3 linked regions of the Canis lupus familiaris genome follow. The protein of the gene in region 2 purifies or fractionates together with the protein of the main gene of each other region. This does not show direct contact. Links are inferred from orthologs where the notes say so. Each region holds a gene or a part of one and is shown on either strand. Other genes may lie near its edges.

Region 1 (3,645 bases), on a different chromosome or scaffold from region 2:
ATCCATTTGCTAGGGCTGACATAACTCAGTACCATAGACTGGGGTGGCTTGAACAACAGGAAGACATTGTCCTACAGTCTTGGAGGCTGGAAGACTGGAATGGGTGTGGGCAGCGTGGGTGTGAGGGAAGGATCTGAGGCCTCCCTCCTTGGTATGTACATGGCCATCTTCCCTCTTTGTGCATCTCCTAGTCCATGTTTCCCCACTTCTATAAGAACAGGAGGCATATGGGACCACCACCTATCCTAATGTCCTCATTTAACCTTAATTATCTCTTTAAAGGCCCATTGTCCAAATGTAGTCACATGCTGGAGTACTAGGGGTAAAGGAATTCAACAATATGACTTTTGGGAAAACACAATTCATAACACTCACTGAGCCTTACATTTTGCCTGTTGTAAAAATTACTTTTGGTCGCTCAACATGACCAAATTAATATTTGTTTCAGAAAAAAGAAGGTATCACAGTGCCTCCTCCAGACTCTTCGGTGAGTTTACATAAATGTTCTTCTGAGATCCAGGTTAACCTGTTTTTAAATCTTTAGTTGTGGGAGGCACCTGAGTGGCTCAGTTCAGTGTCCAACTCTTGGTTTCGGCCCAAGTCATGTTCTCATGTGTCATGAGACTGAGCCCCAGGTCAGGCTCTGTGCTCAGCAGGGAGTCTGCTTGAGATTCACTTTCTTTCTCCCTCTGCTTCTGCCCCCCTCACACTCACTTCCCCTTGCTCTCTCTCTCAAATAAATAAGTCTTTAAAAAAAAATCTTTAGTTGGGGGATATGTCATCAATTCTCTATATTATGTCTATGGCTAATCTCTAAATCAGATTAAGTTTCCATCTGTTCAGAGGCCGGGGATGACGTGGGGGTTGTTTCAGTGCTCATGGATTCATACGTAGTTTTTTTTGTTTTGTTTTGTTTTTTTGTTTTTTTTGTTTTTTTTTAGAGGAAGAAGAATGGAGCCAAGAAAGTTTTGCAGTAAAATAAATGTTAATAGAATGAGAATATCCTAACACGTGATCCATTTAAAAGAGGGAAACAGGCAAATAGGATTAGTGAGCACCCATTCCCTTCCAAATGTAGGCTTTCATCTGAGTTAGTTGATAAGGTATTTTATTTGGTAGTAAAGGAATGTCAGATTATTCTTCCTTTGCTGAGTTTATATTGTGATCCTTAACTTGAATGACTCTCATATATGCCCCATCGTGTCCCTGTTTCTTTAGAAACCCATGGGGCCCAATGATGCCATAGATGCTTTGTCATCTGACTTCACCTGCAGTTCACCTACCGATGCTGGAAAGAAAACTAAGGAAGAGGTATTATTTTAAACATAATTGCAGTGCTTGTTAGAAACCGTATCAGACTTTAAAACAACTTCTTTTTAGTTCTGGTTATTGTAATTGCCCTTCTTTCATCTTTAAGTCTGATCTTTTGTGTTTTGCCTTTCAGAAATCTACAGGAGAAGAGATTTTAAAAGCCCAGCCAGCCAGGGTAACCAAAAGTGCTGCTTCACCCCAAGAGAAAAAAAGAAAGGTGGAGGAGGTATAAATAATTACTTCTTTGAAAATAACCACGGTCCTTCTCCTGACAGCAGTTACTTTCCTGAGCCTGATCCAGCTGATTCAGGATAATCACAATAGAGCGTTATTCCTGATGTGGAGCATCTTTTTTCCCTCGGGTCTGTGTAGATTAGTGAATCCAATCAGGGTTCTATTGATTATCTCCAGGCAAGCCTTCTGTGTTTCTACGAATGCTGTTCATGATTTCAGAACAGTTTTCTTCATTGTGAAACAAGAGTATCTCACCACTAAAATATACAGAAAGACAAGACACCAAAAAAAATTGTACCTTTGGAACATAACATCTTCACCGTGATTTTTTTTTAATGGAGTTTGACCTGTGAATCAATCACTAGTGGAATGTTGGCCTAGCTGTTTCAGGTCACTTCTCCTGACCACAGTCACATAATTGTCACAAATCTTGAAAGGTGATCCAGCGGCTCAAGGCTGGATGAGAAAACGTGCTCCATCTGCAGACAGTCCAGATAGTGCAAGGAGCATGTCTGTTGGATCTGCTCTGCCTCTCCCTTCCTGGAGGGGACAGTTTATTTTTATCTGGCAGGCTGGGGAGCGGTGAGAGCACCACACCCCAAGAGTGGGAGTTCCTACAGCTATTGGCCATTGTGCCTTCAGAAAAGAAGGCTGCAAGGGGCCACTCTGGGTTTCCCGGCTTCCTGGGCTTAGCTAGTTTGCTAAGGGACAGGGTTGTCAGAAATTATTTTTAGAGACACATTAAAAAAAAAACAGGAAAGTGAAAGTTTACTTCTTGGAGCTTTTATTTCTATGCAAGTATTTTATAATAATATTATAGCTTGATAAATAAGGGGTGAAGTGTGCCCCTGAGGGTAGAAACTGTGTAAGACACTGTGGAAGTATCTTAGCCCCAGTATTTTTCACTGGTAAGTTCTTTTTCCTTTCTCTCTTTTCTTAGGTTTCAAGTAGCACTGCCTTCTCAAAGTCCTCTAATCCACGACTCCTCTGACAAATTTGAAATTAGGATTTCACAGAGAAGTGGATGGATTGTGCAGGCTGAGGAGATGTTGTCTTTGTTAATGTACAGAGTTTTTCCTTTTTAGCAGGACGCAATGAGTGATCAAGCACTGGAGGCTCTTTCAGCTTCTTTGGGCAGCCGGAAGCCAGAACCCGAGCTGGACCTCAGTTCCATTAAGGAAGTCGACGAGGTACTGACCTTGGAGTTTATTGATAAAGCGTGTCAGTCTGCAGGTTATGAAACTAACTGCCTTATGCATGTTTAGAATTTTCACACAACTTTGCTTTATTGGAGATTAAAAACAAATTGCTCTTCATTCTATCTTACTTTCAGAGTCCGGTTAACTTAGATCTTCAGTCCTGGGCAGTTAGAGTTTGCCTTATAAACCATCTAGAATTTTAATATTTAAAGTGAATGCTAATCTCTTTTGCCAATGCTTCAGTGACCCCTGACGAGACAAGATAACGTGGAAGCAGTGGCCTGGTGAGAAATAGGTTTATCTGCTCTTGTGGACATGGAAATGTATATTTTCAGAAGGGTTCCAGGTGCCTGTCTTTATAAGGAAAGAGGGAGAATGCTGTCGATGGGATGGGAAGAGGCTTCTTTGTGGAACTATGGAGAAAAATGTTGAAAATCTTGTCCCAAATTAGAATAACATCAAGTAACAATTAACTCTATAAGTGGAGTTCCTGTGTGCTTAGAGTGTGATGATGGGGGGTATTTATCCCACCACACTCTGACATCTTAACAAATCTTCTGAGCCAAAGCAAGTTTCTGTTTGGTGGAGAGGAGTTTTTTTCATGAGATTACAGTTTTTGAAGACTTTTCCAACTGAGTTATCTGGGATAAAAGAGGATAGAAAAGAGGGAATGGCCCTGCCAGCAAGGTAGCATAGTTGGGGAACATGGAAATCCAGCCTGGGGACCCTCAGGGGTGCCAGCCTATCAGCACAGGGAGGGGAGCTGGCAGGTGTTGCTGTCATAATGCTGCTGCCCCCTCTGTCACTTCCTGTTCTGAATCACTGAGGAAGGTGAGTCTCAGTGAGACCCCGGCAACTCTCCCTGAGTCTGGGACCGCTCTGGTCCAAGATGGGCCAGTTT
Region 2 (3,645 bases):
CAACACCCTGTCTCTACAGATTTGCCTGTTCGGATACTTATCCACATTATAGTACATATCAGTACTCCATTCCTTTTTGTTGCTGAATAATCTTCCATTGTTTGGTTACATCACATTTCTTTTTATCCATTCCTCAGTTGGACAGTTGGGTTATTTCTACCATTTCTCACACTTGATATTATCTATCATTTTGTTTAATGTCACCTGTGTATGGGGGAGGGAAATGCAATGGCTTAGTAGTATCTCTACAAAGCAATTTTGTGTATTGAATCCAGCTCCTGGAGGTTTAGGGAGTCATGGGCAACTCAATCACCAAACTGCCAGAAAAGCAAGTCTCTGTCACTCTTTGCAGTTATGAGGCTCCTGTTAGACCCTGCTTTTTCTCTTTCTTTCCTCAGTCATTGTCCACACAGCAGTTTGGACAATAAGCAACCTTTGCAAATCCAAATCCATTCATGCCCCTCCTGGTGCAGGCCCGTGGGGGATAAGGGAGTGAGGTGGGAGGGGTGGGGAGGTCTTTTTGCTCTCTGACTCAAACCACACTCCTTTCCACCCACCCTGCTCCCACTCCTTTGCTTCCTTTCTGGACTCCTGATGCCCGCCAGAGCCAGATGCTGCATCAGACACTGGCTGTCCCCTCAGGTGTGGGGCTCTTTATTCTCCTTCTCCTGCTTCCCAGTGTCTTCCCAGGGCTTCTTCAGATCTCCCTCAAATGTCACCTCCTCAAAGATGCCTCCCCAGATCAGTTCCAGGTTGCTTATTCTTTGTAATAGTTCTGTTAATTACACTGACTTGCAAATACTTTGCCTCCCCTCCCAGAGAGTGAGCTCAGGAGGGTAGAGATTGTGCGTTCCCACTGAACATCTGTCACATGGCACACAGTGGACAATTAGCAATATTTGTTGGATGAATGGATGAGCAGACACAGTAGGGAGGGGAAGCCTCCACTCTGCGCTGCTCCTCCTCATTCCTGCCAACAACCCACCTCCTACAGCCACCTTCTGGGTCAATCCCCAGTTCAAGATCCGGCTGGAGGAGACAGATGATGTGGACGACGACTACGGGGGTCGCGAATCAGGCTGCAGCTTCGTGCTAGCCCTCATGCAGAAGCACCGCCGCCGCGAACGCCGCTTTGGCCGCGACATGGAGACCATTGGCTTCGCGGTCTACGAGGTGAGCCAGTGGATCTCACAGAACTGGCAGGGAAGGCAGGCCTCCTGGTGCACTGTAGGCGAGCCCCAGCAGGGGGCGCCGGAGGACAACGCCGCCACAGCCCTGAGACAGGTGGCCCTAGACCCTAACCCCTGGAGGCACCTGCTGAGGTTGCTCTTGGATAGAGGGAATCTGGCTTTGTTGACACCTAGGAGGTAGCCTCTAGGGGACAGACTTTGGCTCAGCTTCAGAAAGAAGTAGGCAAGTGGGCTGCCATAGAGGAGTAGTGAGCTCCCTATCTTAGGAGTATGTAAGCAAAAGCTGGCCTATGAGGGCCTTGCTTCACTCACTGTGTTCAAGACAGACATTTCTGGCCCTTCCTGGTGGGGGTAGAGAATGGCCACAGTCTTGGCCCAGAGCTCCTGGCTGCAGACCGGTGTGGACCTCTGATGTCCCTGGACTGTGGAATATTGCAGTTGGCCACTCTGGGGGCTGTCCTGGGTGCTCTGATTCAGAGCCAAGGCCCAGGGCGTTCCGAGGATGAGGGAGGACCCTGCTTGGGCCCCCTTTCCTAAGGTCCTGAGGCCCCTCTCTGGCATGAAGATGGTTCTCAGTCACCAATGGCCCTGGGCCCTGCCTTCTGGTTTCTTCATCCTATCATTTTTTTTTTAAGATTTTATTTATTTATTTGAGAGAGAAAGAATGTGTAAGAGAGAACTAACAGTGGAGAGGGAGAAGCAGGCTGTCCATTAAGCAGAGAGCCTGATGCAGGGCTTGATCCCAGGACCCTGGGATCATGACCTGAGTCAAGGCAGCCGCTTACCTGACTGAGCCACCCAGTTGCCCCTCATCCCATCATTCTTAAGAACTCGGGGCTTCTGCCCAGCATACGCTGTACCCCTGTCTCTGGGCCAGGCATACATCTCTAAATTCCTCCATCTCTCTGGCAGGTCCCTCCGGAGGTAGGTTTGAAACCTGGATCACCTGGATTTACGTATCCCTGAACACACAAGGCCTGACGGTGCCCAGAGGGGAGCAAGTTGGCAGCAAGTCCACACGTAGAGAATTAAGAAGTCATCTCGTTTTACTGTTTATTAACTGCCCTCCTCCCCCAATCCAGGGCAGGGTGGGGGCAAACATTACTGTCCTGGGAGCCAGGGCTGGTAATGAGTGAGGGGGCCGGATTTGAACCCTGGCCCTTGGAACCCCGCCTCCCACCACATCTGAGGCTCTTCCTGTCTTGCCGTTCCCACGGAGTAAGTGCTGGCTGCAGCTGCCAGGGGTGCTGGTTAGGAGCAGAGCAGTGGATACCCTTGAGCAAGCTGCTAAAGCACTAAGCCTCTTTGTCAGTGTCTGTAAAATGGGCATGACAGCAACGGCTCACAGGGCTGTCATGAGCTTTAAAGGAGGGGCCCCCTGGAAGGTACCCTGCACTGCCTGACTTGGGGAAGCTGTGAGTGATAATAATGGGAAAGTTACTGCAATGGTGTCTATATCTATAGACATCTATATCTATAAGGTATCTATGTCTGCCTCCATATTATCTCCTCACCTCTGCCCCATGCAGGAGGTAGGGTTGTCACCTTCACTTCACCTGACGGGGAAACTGAGACAGAATGATTTGTCAGGGTCATACGGACTGCGGGTGACCACCATGACCAGCTCTCCGCCCCCATGGCTAGGGCCTGGAGCCTGAGATCTGGGGCTGTGGGGCAGCTCCTGAGGGTGGCTGAGTGGCCAGCTGCAGCCCCCACTCCCTCCTTGCCTCCCACCAGCTGGTGGGCCAGCCCGCCGTGCACCTGAAGCGCGACTTCTTCCTGGCTAATTCGTCCCGGGCACGTTCGGAGCAGTTCATCAACCTGCGGGAGGTCAGCACCCGCTTCCGCTTGCCACCTGGGGAGTACGTGGTGGTCCCCTCCACCTTTGAGCCCAACAAGGAGGGTGACTTTGTGCTGCGCTTCTTCTCGGAGAAGAGCGCCGGGACGGAGTGAGTAGAAGGCCCCTCCCCAGCGTCCACTTGCCACCTGCCACAGGTCCCCCTGCACACCCCCCTGACTGGCCCCTCTGTCTCCCCCCCCCCTGCAGGGAGCTGGACGACCAGATCCAGGCCAATCTCCCTGATGAGGTGCGTGCCACCCCTGTGCCTTCCTCCTCTGCCTCATCCTGGTTATATCCTGGGGACCTGGGTGTCCTGGCTCCTGGGCTCTGGCTGGCAGGGCAGAGCCCCTCCTGGCAGGAACCATAAAAGTAATCCCAATCCCTCATCTGCCCAGGACTTTATAGTTTGCAAAGGACTTAGAGATAGTGGTAGTGCGGGGTTCCTGAGCTCTTCTCTATTCTAGGTCTGTGCTGAGCTCTTTACTTGGTCACTCTGTTTCTTCTACAACGGCCCTGTCAGGGTGCTGTCACCATCTCCCCCTTCAGTGAGAAACTCAAGTTCAGGGAGGTTAAGGAACTTGCCCAAGGCCTCACTCCCGTCACTGAGCTGAGATG
Region 3 (3,745 bases), on a different chromosome or scaffold from region 2:
AGAGCCCAAAGGATCCCAGTTATTAAATGTCAGAGCCAGGGTTCAGACTCAAGCTAAGTCAGCCTCCAGGGGAGAGTCGAAGGGGGCCAGACTTTCCAGAAGGCCTGGGAGCCAGATTAGCTCCCTCTGAGGAGCCCTGAAGTTTGGAGGCCGGAGCTCCCCAGAGGGGCTTCCGCTGCCGCCCTTTGCCCTGCCAGCTTCTGCATTCCCCACCCCCTACTTCTCCGCCCGATCTTGGGGACATCTAGCTTCAGAAACCAGGCCAGAGAGACTGACTGTTCGGGTGCCCAGGCCCCTCTTTAGAGATGGGAAGGAGGAGGCGACACTTGGCGCCGCTGACTCGGGGTAAAAGGATGCGGGGGGAGGAGGCACAGGCAACTTTTGTAGGCGGGGAAGTCCTTCCTGCAGTCTGACCGCCACCTGGTTGCTGCAGGGCCCCGGGAAAGCTAGTCCAGCCTTAGCCCCTTGCCCCAAATGCGGGCGCCGGTCCCCGGGCTGTGGGCCGAGCATCCGGGTCTCCAAATGCTTTGTGGCGACAGGACTAGGATCCGGGGCGCGGGCCCGAAGTCCCCTTCCCAGCGGACCGAAAACGGCACCGCGGGGCGCACGGGGGCTCGCTGTGGGGCCAGAATTCACACTGCAACACTAGGGGGGGATCCCGGGCACGGCGACCGCACTGCCCTCAAGGACCGGGAAGACCTCGGATCTCGGAGCGCAGGGCGGGGTCCGCACCCACAGCTCAGGAAACGCGCGGGGCGGAGCCGCGGCGGCCGCTCGGGGTCACGGGAGGCGGGCCCGGCGCGCGCAGGCGCAGCTCAGGCCGGCTCTAGGACCGCGCGGAGGCCGGTCGGGCCGCCCGCAGAGCCCAGCCCCGCCCGCAGCCTGAGTCACCCGCCCCGCCCTGCGGAGCCGGACGCGGCCGGAGGCCCGGGAGCAGCGCGGACGAACGGATCCACGGACGAGTGAGCGAGGCGGTGAGCGCCCGATCTGGATTAGCCCTGTACTCCGTAACCCCGGTCCTTGCGGCCCCCATATCCAACACCCTTAAGCCCTGGTCTCAGGGGTCCCCCCCCCCGACCCATGATCTCAGACTGGAAGCCCCAGTTATGTCCGGCACCAGGTTATCCCCCCCTCCCCCGCCGGGGACTCTTCCACCCTCTGCCTCAGGATCTAAAGTTCGAGCCCGTGGATTTGAGAGGTACTCCTACAAATTATGCTCAGGGTAGGGTCCCCAGAACCACGATCCTTAGATCCGTTCTCCCAATTCTAATGGGCACCCCGTTATCCCAGGCCCCGGGATTCACACCCACAGTCTTAGACCCGAGCCCGCAGAATCAGCGGCGACATTGTAACCCGCTGCTGGGAGTATCGAAACCCTCAAGCTCACATTTCTGGGTTTCCTGAACCCTGCCCCAGAGCCTTCCAAGTGGAGAATCTCTGATCGGCGCCCCTGACCCGCCCAAGACCCCGAAACCCAGCTCTGGGGCTCGATCTGACTCGAGTACCTAGACATGTCAAAGATGTCTTGCACCAGCTTGGGGCCCCCACCTGGAGAAGCCCCCAGACCTGGACCCTTACCCTGGATGATGCCTATGCACTATGGACTCAGTCCAGGGGCCCTCAAGCCAGAAGGAGATCCTTTGGACCCAGAGGGGATTTCAAACCCGATCCTCAGTCCCTGTCCCACCCATCCGAAAACTACCCTCCCCCAGAACCCCAGACCCCATCCCAAATGCACCGTCAAGCCCGAGCCGGAGCATAAGTCCCTGCCCTGAGGCCTCATGTTACTCCCCAAGTCCGGCTGCCAGAAATGCGTATTTTTGTGTGGAAGGAGCGGGCTCCGTGGCGATGCGGCCCCTTGACCCCCCCTTTCCCCCCCCAGGAATTTTAAATCGCAGCCATGTTCCTGGTTAACTCGTTCTTGAAAGGAGGCGGCGGCGGCGGGGGAGGCGGGGGCCTGGGCGGGGGCCTGGGGAATGTGATCGGAGGCCTGATCAGCGGAGCCGGCGGCGGCGGCGGCGGCGGAGGAGGCGGCGGCGGCGGCGGCGGCGGCGGCGGGGGCGGAACGGCCATGCGCATCCTGGGCGGGGTCATTAGTGCCATCAGGTAAGGCGGGGCCTGAGGGGCGGGGCCCGGCGGAGGAGCATGTCCCGCCTGAGTAGATGGAGGTAACCTGGGGCCTGACCTGCAGTCTTCGAGGCTGGGCCACCCGCCTGGAGGGCGCGGGCCGTAGCGGGGCCGCTGGCAGTTCAGGAGGCGGCGCTTGACGTGGGCGGAGTCTGACGGCTGAGGGGCGATCTGCCGGGCGCTGCTCGGGGAGGTGGGGCTTGGGGGGGCGCGGCCTGCCTCCCGGCGGCCGGGAGACGAACGTTAGGGGGGCGGAGCCGCTGAGCCCGGCCGTCTCTTCCCGGGGCCAGGCCTGCCTTGCGGGCGCGGCGTGGCCGTGGTCTCGGGTCAGTGAGGCGCTGGACCCAGCAGAGGCCGAGGCCGAATGGGATGCGGGAGATGATCCTGAAGGAGGTGGATCTGGCTAGAAGTACGACCTGGTCGAGGTGGAGCGGGTTGTCACCAGGGGCCTCATTAACCGTGGCCCCCCTCGAAGGGGTGGGGACTCCTGGAGCTGGTGGGATGTTGGGAAACACGGGTGTTCAGGAAGCCACAGGACGGAGCAGGTTCCTAGACAGAAGGGGCCTGAGGAGGATGGAGCCCCAGGAAGCTGGGTCAGAGCTTCTATGAAGTGATCTGTTGAGGAATCTGTCACTGGGCAGGTGTGCCCTGGCCTGGCCCTGGCCTACCGTAGGGCGGGCCTCTGAGTTTCCTGCCAGGTGCAACCAGGGCAGCAAAGAGGGACCGTTAAGGCGAGCAGAAGGAGCCGGTGGGGAGGGTGGTGGGCTGGAGTTTGAGGGGTTGGGCACCGTCTTTGGAGGCTCCGCACACTGGCGCTAACTCCCTAACTCTCTCCCCTCAGTGAGGCAGCTGCGCAGTACAACCCAGAGCCTCCGGTAAGCCACCCTCTATAATCGGAGACCCTGCTTCTCACTCCCAGGCTTTTTTCCACACCCATCATTGTCCCTTTGTCCCCCTTATGAAATTCCACTCATTAAATCTCTCCCTTGCCAAGGTCCCCAAACTTAGCTATAGCCACTCCCTGCTTTCTGACCATCTCTCATTTCTTTGATCACCCAGCCACTCAGCCCATTCCGACTTTCCCACCAAGGGCTGTCCTGACCCGGGCACCCCTCCACCACTTGCTCTGAGATCTTTTCCCTCTGCAGCCTCCACGCACCCATTACTCCAACATTGAAGCCAATGAGAGCGAGGAGGTCCGGCAGTTCCGGAGGCTCTTTGCTCAGCTGGCTGGAGATGTAAGTAACCCTGGGCCCCTATCTTTGTCCTAAGTCTTCCACATCTTCCTTTGGGCTGCCCTTGCACACACCCCCAAAAATGGCAATCCCCAAAGAATCCCCATTCTCCTTCATGACATTCTTCCCTTGTGACCATCCCTGACTTTTCCCCACAGGACATGGAAGTCAGTGCCACAGAACTCATGAACATTCTCAACAAGGTCGTAACCAGACGTGAGTTGTTGGGCTCAACACATAGGACAGGTTTTGAGTCATGGGTTGCTGGGGTAGTTGTGACCTCTGGCCTTCTGACTTTCAATCTGTCCCCCACAGATCCTGATCTGAAAACTGATGGTTTTGGCATTGACACATGTCGCAGCATGGTGGCCGTGATGGATGTA

The links.
Region 1: the proteins of CAPN1 (region 2) and CAST purify together in Homo sapiens (co-immunoprecipitation; 4 studies listed by BioGRID and IntAct, counting the BioPlex papers as one, with this or other methods). This does not show direct contact. The link is inferred for Canis lupus familiaris from reciprocal best matches to the Homo sapiens genes CAPN1 and CAST.
Region 3: the proteins of CAPN1 (region 2) and CAPNS1 purify together in Homo sapiens (co-immunoprecipitation; 4 studies listed by BioGRID and IntAct, counting the BioPlex papers as one, with this or other methods). This does not show direct contact. The link is inferred for Canis lupus familiaris from reciprocal best matches to the Homo sapiens genes CAPN1 and CAPNS1.

Annotation. Positions count from the first base shown.
Region 1 is NC_049224.1:12,993,916-12,997,560, reverse strand, and holds part of CAST (calpastatin), read left to right. Parts: intron 1-448; coding exon 449-487; intron 488-1,218; coding exon 1,219-1,311; intron 1,312-1,444; coding exon 1,445-1,537; intron 1,538-2,630; coding exon 2,631-2,735; intron 2,736-3,645.
Region 2 is NC_049239.1:52,493,624-52,497,268, reverse strand, and holds part of CAPN1 (calpain-1 catalytic subunit), read left to right. Parts: intron 1-994; coding exon 995-1,173; intron 1,174-2,102; coding exon 2,103-2,114; intron 2,115-2,927; coding exon 2,928-3,139; intron 3,140-3,237; coding exon 3,238-3,277; intron 3,278-3,645. UniProt on the Homo sapiens protein: Calcium-regulated non-lysosomal thiol-protease which catalyzes limited proteolysis of substrates involved in cytoskeletal remodeling and signal transduction. Proteolytically cleaves CTBP1 at 'Asn-375', 'Gly-387' and 'His-409'.
Region 3 is NC_049222.1:117,400,085-117,403,829, reverse strand, and holds the start of CAPNS1 (calpain small subunit 1), read left to right. Parts: upstream 1-902; 5' UTR 903-974; intron 975-1,882; 5' UTR 1,883-1,900; coding exon 1,901-2,106; intron 2,107-2,124; exon of another isoform or gene 2,125-2,145; coding exon of another isoform or gene 2,146-2,168; intron 2,169-2,185; exon of another isoform or gene 2,186-2,320; intron 2,321-2,455; exon of another isoform or gene 2,456-2,536; intron 2,537-2,968; coding exon 2,969-3,002; intron 3,003-3,275; coding exon 3,276-3,365; intron 3,366-3,520; coding exon 3,521-3,578; intron 3,579-3,677; coding exon 3,678-3,742; intron 3,743-3,745. UniProt on the Homo sapiens protein: Regulatory subunit of the calcium-regulated non-lysosomal thiol-protease which catalyzes limited proteolysis of substrates involved in cytoskeletal remodeling and signal transduction. Essential for embryonic development.